Linked DNA regions of Lepisosteus oculatus. The protein of the gene in region 2 interacts with the protein of the main gene of each other region in a biochemical or structural test. Links are inferred from orthologs where the notes say so. Each region holds a gene or a part of one and is shown on either strand. Other genes may lie near its edges.

Region 1 (8,332 bases), on a different chromosome or scaffold from region 2:
TATTGGGTCTGGGGATAACTGTAGCGCTCTTCCACATGTCCTTATGTTTGCTGAGGTACATTTTATTTTTACATTGAAAGATACAACTCTGTTTTAATCACTTTTCCAAAGAGCAAGAGACCAGATATGTAGGATTAACTGGTCTTCAGAAAAGTCCTATATTTAAATACTTGTTTTCTTTCCAGATCGCAACGAAAATACAGTATAGATCAATATATATATTTGAATAACTTAAGAAAGGCGAAAGCAGTAATCATCAGAAACATTCTACACGCTTGCAGATTCTAGTCGAGGGATTCTTGCCGAGTGATTTTGCCGAGTGATATAGGCATACATTATTTAAATTGTTCGTGAGGTAAGAAACTTCATTCTCAATAAAAAGGCGTATTCCGTATCAAAGTCTTCATGTTACAAACATTGCGAGGCAATGCACAATAGCAATTGTGTCTAGAAACAAAGATCAAGAAATAAAAGGCGCTCACGACAGGCGTCACAAGAGCAGCAGCCAGAACAGGTCGCATTTGTAGGATCGGTAAATAGGTTTTAGTAAGAGAAGTCGTGAGGGTCAGAATGAAGGCGCGTCGCTAGGTCTATGCAATGACTTCTCAAAGACAACTGTTTGCTTTGGGAAAGATGGGCCGCTCAATAAAATGTTAAGCGAGGCAACACCCAGATAAATTTTATTGACACTGATCCTTAGTGCAAAAGGGCGCCTTGGGAAATCAGGCGTAGTGGTACCGCTGCCGGGTTCTCTGATGAATTCAGAATCAATGCCCCATTTGCCTGCGTTTTCAGAGCAGGCGAAACACATTTTGGTGAAAGGTGCGTAATGTTTCAATGTTCTTCCTTACTTTTAAGCTTTAATAATATTTTTTTATGCGTTATTGATCGGGCACTTTTGAGTGGCCGGGCGACAGAAGCGCAATAAAATGAGCGGCGCCTATGGCCTTGAAAAAAAAGTGAGGGACATCCACAGAGAAACTGCTGGGTCTTAACGGGCTTTTCACAAATTGACTCATCAGGCGGAAACTGTTCATTTTCCATTTTTATCCTATTAGCTCAAGCAATATCTATATCTGGATACTGAATATTGTAAATTACTATTTTACGTTACTTTGAACTAGAAAATCGAATTGAAACACGGAGGTCTGTATACTACGTTTTCTGTATAAATACAGTATATCGTGTTATCATGATTTTAAGAAATTAATATTTTCAAATAATTCTCACCTATATTATCAATCGGTTGTTGTTGCTGTCATAATTCACCTTGAGTTCATTAAGACCACTGTGAACCGTGGGTAAATAAACCAATATATACCAAGCTGCAAGTTAGTGCTCCAGGGTTGATGATGTTAAATAATGAATAACTAATGTTCTTGAATTAACTGCCTGTTGGAAAACTACAATCATCTTCGATTTAACAAAGCGGTAAGCGAATCATAGTCCACCGCAGGACGTCCTCCAGTTTGGAAACTGAGTTTAAAAGACATTTTAATGGTTTGATGCAAAAATGAATATTTCAATGCACTGAAATGATTACCAGGACCCAGCAATGAGTACTAAAATCGATTTGGGTTAATAGCTTGAATGTATCTAAGTTATATTTAAGTAAATATTAAATTTGTTGCTCGAAAAAAGAATGGAAATTGTATACTATTACTGATTAACCCTTTTCATGGTGCTTTGCGTTCAGGAACACCGTTACTTATTGAAGTGTATTTGTTTCCTACCACTAAAAGTCAGCGCTTTACCAGAGAACCTTTAAATTGCTTTTACAGTTCCTCCCAATTCATTTCGGATTGCAAGTACCTACTGTATGTACATTAGCAGGAATGTTTTATTTTTTTAACATGCCTGCTAATGTACATACAACATGCTTTTCACCCCTGCATTCTCGGTGACTGTTTGTGACCGATCCACGGGGACGTCCTTTATGTTCAAATATCTCAGGTGCAGCACCTGTCGTGAGAAGACGAGATCTGGAAGTTTTGCAATGAAGTGTATGGTGCACATCTCAGGGCAGGCAGGCTGTTGCGCTGTGGTCCCGCCGGAGTGCAGTCTTACTCCGGGGGCCCGGAGTGTACCGGTGGTCTCACAATAGCGATGAATAATGGTGTGAAATGACAGCACGCGCTTAACATCTGTTCATATCATTTACTAACAATGCAGCTCATTACATATTCATAACGTCCGCTACAAACTGGGCAAGAAAGAAAAGAAAACGTAGCTGCCCCTCTGTCGGACCAATGCGTCTCGTTAGCAAGTCGTAAACCGCTTGGTCTTTTGCTTTCATCGCTTTTAAAATAATTCGACATCTACCGTACCAGTATTTAAAGAAATTATAACCTTAAGCAATGAGACCTTTTTGCCATTGTGAAATCTAAAGAAATAATTGAAGTGTCTAGACATTATTACAACATTTTTTTTCCCATTAGACTAGTAAAATGGCTTCATATATAAATCACATGAAACACATTATTTTCACCGTGGTGCACTTCAGAGACTACCATTTAAAACAAGTTGACCAGATAGTTTCAAGAAAGCTGTGTTTATACGGCACTAAAAATAATCCCTATAAGTAGCACTTCAGATACTACCGTTTAAAATAAGTTGTGTTTATATGGCTTTGAAATTAATCCCTATAAAGACTATTCGATGTAGGGAGTGTAACAGGTACTGTTCCACAGCGAATTATGCCCAGCAGACGAACATAAGGTAGTTAAAGAGCGTGAAATCAGCAATTAGACACTCAAAGTAAAGGAAGCAACGGTTAACAGGACTCAAGCACAATTCAAAAGCAATGTCAAACCTAAGAAATAAAATAATATTTCTTACCTTGGCTGGAATTGTATCTGGATAAATTACTGTGATTCTGACAGCTTGATCCCGAGTGTTCAAGCAACATGTTTAGTCGAAGTGGCAAGGTTTTAAATGGAAATTAATGCATACGGAAGGTGTTCTGTGATCAACCGTAAAAGGTATTTTGAAACAAAAGGCACGTCTTGTAGGAGAAAAAAGACTAACGCGCCTTTTATACACTAACTGTAAAAAAAAAAAAACACAACCAAACAAAACAAACTGTAGCGCTAATTTTCAAAGCGGCTTCGCGGGCGATAACGAAAAGGAAAGGCAGGGTTTGCCTCAGATTTTTCGAATCGGCGAATTAAAATCAGTGTACACAACAGACGTCAAAGTCGCCGCTTCCTGGTGAGATGTCAACTTTTAGAAAGCTACAGTGTAACTAGCTGTTTTGTTCCGTGGGTGAAGACGGGGATTCCTACAGCGACAATTAATACCGTCAGCTGACCTAGAGTTGCTAGGAGTACCGGTCTTTAACATAACAAAAGCGGCGAGCGGGGATGCGGCGCTGTTGACATTTTGCCCTGTCCGTGGTGCTGAAGGGGAGTAGCTAGACGCGATGCCGGAGGCGTGTTTATGCTGTTTTGTTCCCTGCCGTGCCCCAATACATATAATATACACGTGTCTGTCTTTCACCGTACACAATAGGATACTAGGCAGCCCGCGTCCAGACATTGTAGTCATGAGAAAAAGGAAAAAAAAATCGTTTAACACCCCCGTTCTCCTTTTGTTCCCTATAACAAAAGTAAAATTTGCCACCGAGTTGGGGGGGTTGGGTGGATGGAGGGGGGAGAGTAAAAATGAAGCTTATTTGTGGAAGTAACTGCTACAAAGATTTTAAAGAAAGACGTTTAGTTTTTTACCTAATATCAGAATCTTTCAGGACCGAAATGTTCTGTCCTCTTATCAGTTAAAAGATTACATGGATTCAAAACAAAACCGCCAGGGATTTTGATGACGCATTAATATATATATATATTAATGCTTAAACTAGTAAACATCGTGCTATTATACAGTAATTGACTATTACCTCGCTTTCTCAATGTTTGGACTCGATTTGTTTGATCACCATAGCAGAATTAAATGGTAAACTTGTTCAAGACTGATGAACACAAGGGCTCATACCAGTTTTAAATACATTGCATGCGGACAAAAAGAGTTACGTGAAGTGGAATGTAAATATTTAAATGTTCTGAAATGTGTAAATACTTGAGTGTATTGAGGCGTTTTACGTCACGCCTTGCGACCGGCTCTTGAAGGTCTGTTTCTGGGTTGTCGAACTTTACGCGTCGGGATAATGGATGAAAATGACTGCGTTTATACATTTGGCATTAGTTTTCAACTCATCAGCTACGTAAAAAATAAAGCGGGAAACATGGAATTGATCTATTGGTTGTTATAGCCAAACTTACCGCTCGAATAACGATTGCCCGCGGCAGGGTGCTCTTTGGTCACTGGAGGGCTCTGGCTGGTGGGTTAATTACTGGGGTGTGAGAATTCAGAGCGCTATAGCATTGAGTAAGACAACGTATTCATACGTATAATCCTCCTAAAAATCAGGGTTACGTCAATCTGCAGTTTTAAATGGTCATTACACAATTATTATAAATCTTCCTTTAGAATAACATCTTCATCTGACTGCAGTGGGGATGGATATTGGGCATTCTTCGTTAAAAAGACACTGCAGATGCGGCAGATACACGCTACATACTGTACAATAATTTACATCTGCTGTATACAAGAATGATGGCCGGGCGAGGGCATACAGTAGTATATCGACAAACCGGTACAGAAGAAACGATTCATTTATGAAGCCAATGTAGGGTTTTACAATTTACCCCAAACACATACAGCGTGCAATTGCATACACTTGTCTATGAGCAAAGTGTTTGCAAAGCGGCGCCGAGCTTGTGGTTCCTCTAATATTTAAGACGTTTCACCCAACATTTTACAGACTGTGATTTCGGACAGGAATCCTGGAAGTTTGCCTGCCAGAGGAAGGAAATCCAAATCTCCGTTTCAGGCGATAATTAATGTTAGTTACTGCGAGCCACTAATCGGAATGAATCCGGTTAAACCTAATCCGAGAGGATTACAAATTAATAAAAGCACTTTAAAGACGGACTGTCAGCACATATGTCTAAATCACTTTACAAAAGTAAGGTGACCGAATTTTCACTTGTTGGAAAATAACAGAGCAACGTCGCACCTTCAGGACGCGGAACAGCCGAAGCATATGCGTACTTCAGTTGAACTAATTCATTTTTTATACATTTTATATGCATTTTATTTCTCAAACGTAATCATCGTCACTGCCTTGTTTTCCGTATCGTTTTTATCAGATTTGATGCCTAAAATTTATTTTAGAACAGATATAGACCTAAACATAGAAGGAAACATCTTCTAGCTACTGTGCTACTGTATGTGCAGTGTATAGCATTCCTACGTTACGTTTATAATAGAAATAAATGCCGTAAAAAGCGTATTCTTTCATTTTTTTCCTCATTATGACATTTTATACAATTAACGTTAGGGGTTAAAATCATAAATTGCAATAAATGAAATACCCTACCTAGCGTTATTTTGTTTTTATTGAGGCTACCACTAGTTCATATTTATGAGGAATAATTTCTTTAATTGGCCTGGAGGCGTGGAGGGACAGTTTTCACTTTTTAGGGAAAATAGTTTTCACTTTTATTAACCACTTTCTATTTTCTCACAAAGATGTAGTTTGCTACCTTTTTAATAACATTATAGTAAACTGTATAATACTAGTGCATACAGTACACCATCCTTGTTAAAGTGAACATACACTGTATGTTATACAAACTCGCCTGATATTAAGTCATTTGCAAAAATAATGTACATAGTGTAATAGTTTAGCAACGTGAAGACAAAAAAAACAATAATAGTGTTCTAACACAATCAACCTTATTTGCAAGTACTTGTTTCTTGGGTTTGAAAAAACATTCAAATTGTATAGAACTTGATTTTACAAGTAATTTAATTAGTTGAGCTAAATACGTGAAAATAATGCTATTTCACTGGGTCTATAAATTAATGTGAACATCAAAAGACTTAAATTCGTGCATTTTTCTCGTTCATTAGTCATCGCTTCTTGCCTGTAGTACAAACAACAACAACAACGATTATAACAATAATAAGAATAACGAGAAAAATATGCCGAACAAAAGTCTCCTGATTGCAGTTTTTTGCATTTGGGGAATTTTAAATTTGTAATGCCTAACAAAGAAAAAAAAGACTAATATAAGAAGATATGTACGCGTTAGGATCCTAAACAACTCGGATACCGTCGAATGATTACAATAGATTTCTAGCATAGATGTCCGAATTTATTGTGAAACTTGTTTTCATCACTGAAGACGATGTGGCTATTAGCCTTAATCCTCCATCAATAAGTCAGTCTGATCTCTTTGATAAAGATTATAAGGACAAACGACAAGTCTGGAAGGAACCACATAACTAGGATTCTAAAACCAAACAGCCTCAAAGGAGCTTATAGACAAAAACAGACTCCAGGATCGCTCTAGAACACCGCTTTCTCTGAAGTAGGACTGTATGTGTTGTTATAAATGCTGTTCTTTGATATTGATGTACAGTATTTTTATCCTCTTGAGGACTTGTTCCGTAAGAATACTAATTGAAATCTGTAAATATTAACTAAGTTTCTGTGCCAATCTTCACAGATTTCAATAATGAAATCAATTTTTCGATTATTTTTGAGGCACCTGTATACGAGCAGACATCAACCATCATCTGAAAACATTATTTTTTCTTAATTTTAGCGCCGTACAATACCTTCTTTCGGCTCAGCATTTATTGTGTTGTGTTTCTCTGAATTGCGCAGAGATTCATTTACAACCACCACGCGGTTTAAGTGACAGGACTGCAAGCGCACTGTAGTCTGTTTTCCTACAGATGTTTCTCGCGGTCTCTGACGAACTCCGAACACCCATGAAACATGAAGATTCCCCCATTCCAGCTTCTTGGATAAATACAAGGCCTCCATCCCGGATAAAGCAGTGCAGTGCACGGAACAAACTCACTTGTTTGCGAATTAGGGACAGCTAGTGAGAAGGAATGGTAATTGTTATATTACAAATAATTCTTTCAATTCTCATTTTAAAAAGTAAGGAAGAAATTCTGTCTTTCGTTAGTTTTAAAATGACAATCTAAAAAGAAAAAAAAAACAAGCAACGTTTACCAGAAATTCAGTGCTAATAAGCACTAACATTAAAAAAAAAATGTAATCTGCCCTCAATTTTTGGGTCTTTCAAATTGTGCGGGCAGCTATACTGTTCTTGCCACTTGAGAAGATTGGTTAAGTGTTGACACATCTGGGGCCCACTTCAGAGACCCATTGCAATCAGGTTGAAATAGTTGCTAACAAAGCCTATGGCATTTAAACCCGCATGTGAGTCTTCAGAGTGGAAGGTCTAACTTCAGAGAGACGATTTGGGAAGTGGGGACAAAAACATTGACGCATGTGGCTCTTGAAATCCAAGTGTCACTTGAGGCTCATTTTTATACTCCATTGAAGAGTTTTGTTCGTTTGCTTGAAGGTCTCTTTTCATCTCTACAGCTCTGCAGTCCAGAGCAAATATAAGCTTTCTGTCTCCTTGGCTTTTCTTGAAAGTGTTATTGACATTCAACACAATGAATATTTATGCCAGAGTGGCTAGCAGTACCTACATGGACTGCAAAGCTTTTAAGACTCATTTGCAGTTTGCATCTAATAGGCATTTGCCAGTTCCAGTGAAAGGAGCAGAGAGTTTTAAAAGCCCCTTGTTCTTGTTCTGCACTCTCCGTGTTACTAAGAGACAAAGTTTCAAGCTGGATCGTGACACAAGCAGGTTTTCAAAGTGCAGCTTCCATATGTGTCATCTGTTTTCATCCTTCTACCTGATTGGGCATACTGCTCCGCTTTGCATTGACACAAGTGCACTCTTAGCGTCTGTGGTTTTAAAGTAATGGTTTTTCAAAAAATGACAGCTGTTCCCAAAGAAAATGTCTTCTTTCCTGAGAACTTCCACACTTGCAGCTAAGATTCACTCAATTCCGCCACTCATAGCTTCAGGTAGACACCTTTGCCATGACATATCAAGACCGCAGGAGCCTGTATTACAATAGGGCTGCTGTGCTTTCAAATGAGCAGAAATGGAATCTGACACCCACAGACGTTTGATTGGATGCAACCCAACATGCTGCCCGTATGTTCATAATTAGGCACAAAACCCTGACTTTTCATAGTCGTGGAAATAATTTTAACAATTGATATTAAGCCGGCAAATGAATTACTTTTGATGGCAATAATCACAGTAAGGCTTTGTTGTGGAATATGAAGCATTCACATCATTCTGTAGTAAAAGGATTTTACTGTTGGTGTTACCATTAGATAGTCTTAAAGTAAACACATCAAATATTTATGCTGCTACATAAGAGTATAACA
Region 2 (7,876 bases):
TATTCCACTAAGTGCTAACCTGCTCAGAAGTGGCAAAGGCTTAAATCTACGCCACACCAGTCTGGAAAATAAACTGGATTTACGACTCAAAGTAAACAAGTTTTAAATGATGATTAGCATCAGAATACTTCTTTGAAGCTCTCCTACATACAGCTGAAGGAAACAATTATAATCTTTAACTTAAGCAATACAGATAGCAGATTAAACTCCACACTTTCGGAGTAATAAAGACATGATCAGTGTGTTATTATACCAAATAATGAATACTGTGGCACAACACTAGTAGATTTCTGGCTACATAAAGTTTTCTATCATTCATAATGTTAATGCAATTCCAAATGAAATGATTTTAATGCAGAAACAGCAAAACATCACCACACCAAACTTCAGTAACGAATAGAGGCCTACTTTTGTCATGACTGAAGGTGGTCTGTTCTGCATTGTCTGTGCCAAGACAAACAGTGCTGCAACCTTTTTGTAATTTAAATTAAATTAAAATGTAGTTAATCTGTATTTTAAAAAGTAGGATCAAGCTGTGATCATGTTAAAGTGATCCGAATTTGAGCCCGTTAAGCTTAGTTTTAGTACTTGATGAGCTTTCAACACTAGGTCACTTTAAGCACTTCCTTTTGAAAGCATTCAATCCAGGTGTGTTATTTTAAGGTTTTCTAAAGCATTTTCTTGAGAAAATATTAAATGAGTGGCAAAAAAGTCTTGTAATTATAACCAATGTGATGCAGTTCATTCATTTAGCATGTTGACTAACTACTTTGTGAGGTAGAATCCATCGCTTCATTTTAAAACGTTAGTATTTGCAAGTCAATCAGTTTTTCCTCCGCCTGACTGGGTCTGTGGAGGAAACCCAATAGTATTAAAACGGAAACAAAAACATATCAATTTAAGGGAATTAGCTGTGAAAATTGTTCTGTCACTAAAAAATGGATGTATTACCAGGGGTTCCCAACAGGTTATTGTCTCTCATCAGCCGGTAGTCCTCCTCACTCAGGTTGTTCACAAACTGGTAGAAAGCCTCTTCCCTGTTGAGCCGGTCTCTCTGCCGCTGACGTTGAGCTTCCGACTGCTCGCTTCCTCCTTGTTCCGCACTGTCCGAGTTCTCCATTGCAGCCAGGGCAAAGGTGAGGTCTTACTTCAGACTATTAGAATGAAAACAAAGGAAAATTGATTTGAAGATGGTGTGGTGCCACAGGGTTACATATCAGCCCCTTGAGCTGCACTTTATTTCAAATATAAGAGCCACTTTGCATTTGGCATTAAATGATACAGTACAAATTCTTCTAATCTTCAGATCATGTTCATAGCGGGGGCTGGGGGAGAGGTTATATTGATTTAGCCTGGGATGGTAATCATGCACTCGTGTGAAAATTCAAACATGCACTCATAAAAAACTTCTTTAAAAATGTCTCAAGCTCATAACTGGGACACAAATCTAGCTTCATAATCAACTCCTTACACGTTAAGTACACACTAATATTTGCGGAAACCGGAAAATGTGCTCATGTCATTAAGGATCTGCCCAGGCACGTGATGAAACACTATGTATTTTACACAAGAAATGAACAATTTGAGGACACGTCGCTTTTTATAGGTAGCGACTGATCTTATCAAATTTAAAAGCACATGGAGATACTCTTGTGGAAAAGATCAGAGTGAATCCAATCACAGCAAGGAAGCTGTTGAGCTTTTCTCAGCATTCATGGTTAAACAGGCAAGGCTTCAAAATGATTTTTAATCTGCACTGGTAGAAATACAATAGGGAGCAGTGAATACAAAAAAGTCTGCAATGTCCTACTTATTGCTTATGCTCTTTGTTTTACTAAGATTCACACATTCTACACAAAATATTGTTATAAAACAGACATGGGTACAACCTACATATTTCCTATGAGGGCTTACACTTTCTATAAAAAGTCAACTTCTTAAATAAATGACAGATCCAAAAGGTAACTAAAAATAAATCTAATTCTGTAAATTTAGAGCAGTTAATTCATTCAGCTGCATGGTTTAGTTGGGTCATGGCTTTTAAATCCCATGTGGGATGTTGCTTTTGTACCCGTGAGCAAAGTATGGGATTCAGATTGCTCAAGTGAATACCAGTGGGCAGAGTATTTACTGGAGCAATTCCACCAGTTCTTCATTGTAAGCTAGTATTTTACAACGATCACAGTGTCTGATTCATAAACTGATCAAATAACATTATTAACAGATCTGCTGCACAATCTGTGCATTTGAGTGCACACTATAAATGTGATGCTTAGTACAACAAAACTAAAATAAACATTAATTTCATTACCTTATCAACTTATATGGACAATGAACCAATCTGAAAACATTATAACAAATGCTTGCTTTTTATGATCCAATTAAAATGAGTGAATTATAAAAACGGGCCTATAATTTTGCAATAGAATAACTCCCAAACCAAGGACTATATCCCAATGAAAAACCACTTAAGATGGTAATCAGTGGAAGAGGTTCAAAATACTATTCTGAAATATTAAAAATTGCTATACAATTAAGTTACTGAAATAAGGCGGTGCGTCATCCCTATTTATCTTCAGTTATGTGTAAAGCAAAAGACGTCTGAACTTTTAAAAACGCATGGTCTAAACTGTGTATTTAAAAATGCTGAAATCATGTGAAGCCTTTTTGACTAAAATTATTCGTGTTTAGATCAAAACACATCATGTCTGAATCTGACAATCGATGAGAAAAAACAAAATGGCAACAGCTGTACGTTTCCCAAATTAGGTCAGAAAAATATCTTTCTGGATTGTATTACTGAATCTTACCGTGGTATAAACAACACAGAATTACTACTATAGTCATAGATTTGATTTTTTTCGATCGGATTCATTTCAAGCAACTCAATTATGAGTAATAAGCTCTGAGGCCCACCGTCTGTTAAATTAGGTAAAGAAAAGAAAAAACAGAGAAACCTCCTTTTAATCGCTAGAACACCGACAAAAAGCAAAAACAGTTATTTTAACGACTTTTACTGCGGCATGCTGAATTGGTGTTTCTTTAATTAAAGAAAATTCAATGAAAGGCTAGACCATCAAACGACATTTCATGAATTGCACAACAAAAAATAAACAAGGAGTTTCTAATTAAAAACAACGTCATCATTTTCCGGCCAATAACACAAAGCGGGACGATTTTTGACCCCCGTGTTACGAATTCAAGAACCGTTTCGTATACCTGTTATAATCCGTTGCTTTTACTTCAATTAATTCGCGTATTTTCCTCTCTTCTCTATCTCGGATTCACCTCTGTCTTCCTATGTCTCAAACTGCCATTTTCTTCATTATTGCAAAGCCTACCGGAACAGGAGCTGTGATAAAACGGAAATACGCAAGGACCAGGAGTTCTGTTCGCCCGCCACAGCGCCATCTTGAGGAGGGAAGACGGACTCGGTGCTGCATTCTTTCGGTTTTCTCTGGTTGTTGATGCGGTGCATAGGAATAAGGAGAACTGCGGGGATGTAATGCATGTAGCTGGGAAGTGACAGATTACATAGAATGTCTTTTCTAAAAAATGAAATAATAATTAGAAATATGTTACGCATCCTGGTACATATTGTCATTGGATGATAATAAAAACATAATACCCCAAGTGCGTATAATTTCCCACGTGTGCTGCTGTCACTTCAACGCCCTGAAGCACTGGGCAGACGAAAACAAGAACCGGAATGCGGATCAATTTAACTAGAGGAGAAAGGCATGCGCGATAGCATCCAAAATATTGTTTATATTAAACTGGGTCCACTAACTTATGATATGAGTATGTGTCATACAAAATTATTTTAATGTTTTTTTTTCGGGCAATCTGTGTTCTTCGGTTGTAAGCTATCTATACTCACCATTTCACACACACCCGTGCTTTGTGCACACAGGCCCCTAGGCTGTGCCAATACACCAGACTGACGCTGCGGCGCCCCTCAACAGCGTTCCACACCGAACTGCGCTAGTTCACGAAAGGTGACGATGTTACGCGCATGAAATAAATAACAAAACCCATTATTGGCATTTCTTCACAAAATGTTTTGCATTTTTGTTTTCTGCCCGAAACAGAACATTAGGAAATCATCAAAAGAAAATGATTTCTTTTGTTATTTCTCTTCAAAATAAGAATCCAGTGTAGTGTATTTGTTGGTTCTTACTATGTGTATACAATTTTGCCACGCCTCTTCTTGTCAACATAAGCATCACTAACGGATTGACGGTCATTTCTAAAGGCTGGTGAGAATTTTTATGAAGTAAATTAGTTCATATAATACATATCTGCATTTTCTCCTCTTTTATATTGCTCCTGGAATAGATTGATAGCAGTGGGAGTCACAGCCTCCACTGGTATTTTCTACATTTTTTCTATGATCTGTGAAATATGATTTTTTATGAACTGTTATTATTGCTGTTTAATTTGGGTAAAACGATATTAAGCTTATGAGGGCATGGTGGCACAGTGGTTAGTTAGCATTGCTCTCTCTCGCAGCGCACCATGGGGAGCAATCTATCTGTGTAGTGTTTGTGTTCTCCCTGTATTAGTGTGAGTTTACTCCAGGTGCTCCAGTTTCCTCACACAGTCTAAACGTACTGGAAGGTTAACTGGCTTCTGGGGAAATGGGGAAATTGGGAGTGTGAGCGTCTGTATTGTGTCGCTGTGCAATCTGCAATGCACGAGCGTTTTATCCAGGGTCTATCCTGCCTTGTGCCCGTTGTTTGGCGGGTGGGCTCCGGCTTCCCCTTGACCCATTAGCGAAAGTTATTAGCAAATGGATGAATTGACAAGGTTTGAGTAGGGAGCAGTGTTAGGGTGCATTGATTTTAAAGGAACAAGTAATGGTTAATTCCACATTGATCAGTAGAAAGTAAAAAGTAGAAATTCTTCATTGAAACTGCTGTTGAGCCTTCTTTGAGTGTGAGGGAGAGAGAATGAAGGTTGGAATAAAAATCACGAGAGAACAAAGGACAGAGCAGGTGCGAATGGGTACACAGGTGAGAAAGATATATCTTTGTTGTAAATGTCTGTAATAAGTCTGTAGATTTTATTTTATTTTTATTTTTTGGAAAACACTGGCAAAACTGATTGTACCCATCGGTCATGCCATTAAAGCAACTTGAATTGTATTGAATTGAGTGTCTGAACAAAGAGCGAGATGGGGGAGAAATGTGAAAGTATGAAAGTTTTTTAAAAAGAAATGAGTCTGTCATTGAGAGAAAAGTGTGACCTATGTTCCCTCTAATTTGTAATGGCCTATGTGCGCAAACAATTCGAGTACCTGTGCGCACTAAATTGAGTATATGTGAAATTGTAAACCTGAAATTATTTTTTGTTAATATAGTCATTCTCATTGAAGCATAGAGATCCAAAAGACCGGGACAGCAATTCAACGAGCCCAGTCATAGAGACTGTGCCGAGCGAGCATGAGCAGTGAGGTTCAAGACTACGAGAGCATAGATATCGGTTATTGAGTAGCAATAATAATGCACACAGCCAAGTTGGGCCTCTCACAGCCAGTCTCATGGTCAATTTAGCGTTTTTCAATTGATAACCGTGTTTGTTTTATTATTATAATTTTGGGGGGAATTTAATTTTTTGTGCTCAGTTCAATTTCCTTTGTGTGCTGCTTTGCTTAGAGAGAACATTGGGTGTGATCCAAAATTATTAATTTTGGCTTTGGATGTACTAATTTAACGTTTAATTTACTGCTTAACTGCTTGTCATCTATCTGTTATCAGAGCGTTGCTTCACCTGCTGAGAGTCATGGCTAGCTGGGGGCCCGTCCCAAAAACAAAGAACATGACAGCTCTTCCCCTAGAGGGGGCAGCAGTCTATTGCAGGGTGACAAAGAAAGGGACGATTTCAAATAGCCACTCAAGCCTAGTCAGCTTGTCTTCTGAAAGTAGGAGGAAGCTGGAGCTCCCAGAGAAAACCTGAGATCAGGATCAAAATTCAAAATCATGCACACATGCAATGGAGAAGGAATATGGTTGGGCTATTCACATTTTACTCTGGAAATAGAGGATACATGTGAAGCCCATGTTGATTATTGACAAGGAGCATGCAAGCAGGGTGGAGAAGGGGATTTTGTAATAAGATTTTGGTTGGGTGGATAGAGTGGGGTGTGTTTAATACTTTCAACAATTTTTATTTCTGAGTTCTAATAGGTTTAACATTTAATATACACCTCTTTCAACTAGCAGCCTACTGATAAAAAGGAATGTTAAGTATAGTAACCTCTAGTTTGCATCACGTTTTTCCAAAGCTATTTCGTGATCCCTCTTGCAGCATTCTGAAATTCCCAATCTTGTTGAGCTGAGTTATCAGTTGCTGGTTTAATAGAGTTTTCATTTGTCAATGAAAATCTAAAAGTTCTAACAATCGCTTTCATGAGCATACCATCTTTTCAATGTATTAGGCCTAACAGAACCACCTCTTGCTCATATTAGCCTCAGGGTAGTTGACTTTGTTAGGTACAACTATACACTGTACACTTTACAGTAGCTATAACAACCATGCATGTACAGCAGCAAAAATTACAATTAGAGTAACTAAAAAAAGTAACTACCTTGTCAAAATGCACAAATCACAAAGAGGGGTGGATTATTATAATAATTAACAGCAGTAATTGACATGCATTAACATATAATGGAAGTCATTTTAATTAATTTTGTTAATTATATAGCAACACAGAGAAGCTCAATATATTTGGTGGTCTATGTTGTTTGTTTAAGGATCAATTTGACCAAATAATTGAACATCTAGACCCTGATTTCTGCACAGAACAGGTTTTAAACAAATTGTTTTCTGATTTTTTCCAGGAAATGAAACATGTATGCACAGTGAGATGTGCCCAATTAAGAAAAAAATACAGTTTGTCTGGAAGAGATTCTTTCCATTTCAACAACACAGTGGAGTGATTGAAGATATAGTTTTAGTTTGTAATCGGGGCATGCTAACATTCTATGAGATATAGTACCCTTGTAAACTAGAGGATGTTGACAACATTTCATCCATTCAGATGCCTCATCTTTAGATTCACCCTTACTCTGGCTTTCAGATGTGGTTTTGAATTTCCAGACTGTAGTCTTATGGACCAGATGCCTGCTCCCTTTGTCTGAGAAGAAAAAAGTATTTTCACAATCTGGACATAAGCTGTCAACATCACAGCCATTTTTGGATAGCAAGCAACCTCAGGTCATCTAATGTCTCAGCTTTCAGAGATGTACAATGGCATATTTTCACTTTGTTCATGCAGAAAAAGTCTCTCTCACAGATTATTATAAAGGGCTGAGTGTAAGGAGTACCTGTTTAGTAGAAAAAGAATGTAAGAAAAGTGGTAGGCTTCTCCTGTAAAGTAATAATGTACAGGTTAAAGCTCCTGTCCCGTATTGCCATGTGATCAATCCTTTCCTGTGGAATTAAGTTGGACTCTTCCTCTGTCAAAATATAAATTTCATTCTGGGGCTAAAGTGTGTGATTATACTGATAGGCTGAAGAAACTGAACCTTTTTAGTCTCGAACTGATAAGACTACAAGATGTCCAGATAAATGTAATCAGAATCCTCAAAGTTACTGACAAAGTTAATCCAGTTATTTTGCCAGGATATCCTTGCTTCTTTCATTGAACGGCTGGAGAAGTTCCTTGGAACAATTTGCTGCTAACAACCAAACAAATTAGATGTGCCAATAGCCTCCTCTCATTTGTGTCTATTCTTCTGAACTTCTTCAAAGAGCTTTCAAGTTCACATATCTTTCATGTAGCAGCAGAGGTACAGTGAAGTAAGACAGGCCTTTGGAAATCTCTCATGTTAGTTTGTCACAATGATATGAGGTAGTTTAGTGACATCTGTGT

The links.
Region 1: the proteins of rlim (region 2) and lhx3 form a complex in vitro, tested with the Homo sapiens proteins (2 studies listed by BioGRID). The link is inferred for Lepisosteus oculatus from reciprocal best matches to the Homo sapiens genes RLIM and LHX3.

Annotation. Positions count from the first base shown.
Region 1 is NC_090719.1:8,949,218-8,957,549, forward strand, and holds the start of lhx3 (LIM/homeobox protein Lhx3), read right to left. Parts: upstream 3,411-8,332; 5' UTR 2,909-3,410; coding exon 2,839-2,908; intron 1-2,838. UniProt on the Homo sapiens protein: Transcription factor.
Region 2 is NC_090703.1:37,516,432-37,524,307, reverse strand, and holds the start of rlim (E3 ubiquitin-protein ligase RNF12-A), read right to left. Parts: upstream 3,358-7,876; 5' UTR 3,220-3,357; intron 1,155-3,219; 5' UTR 1,121-1,154; coding exon 952-1,120; intron 1-951. UniProt on the Homo sapiens protein: E3 ubiquitin-protein ligase.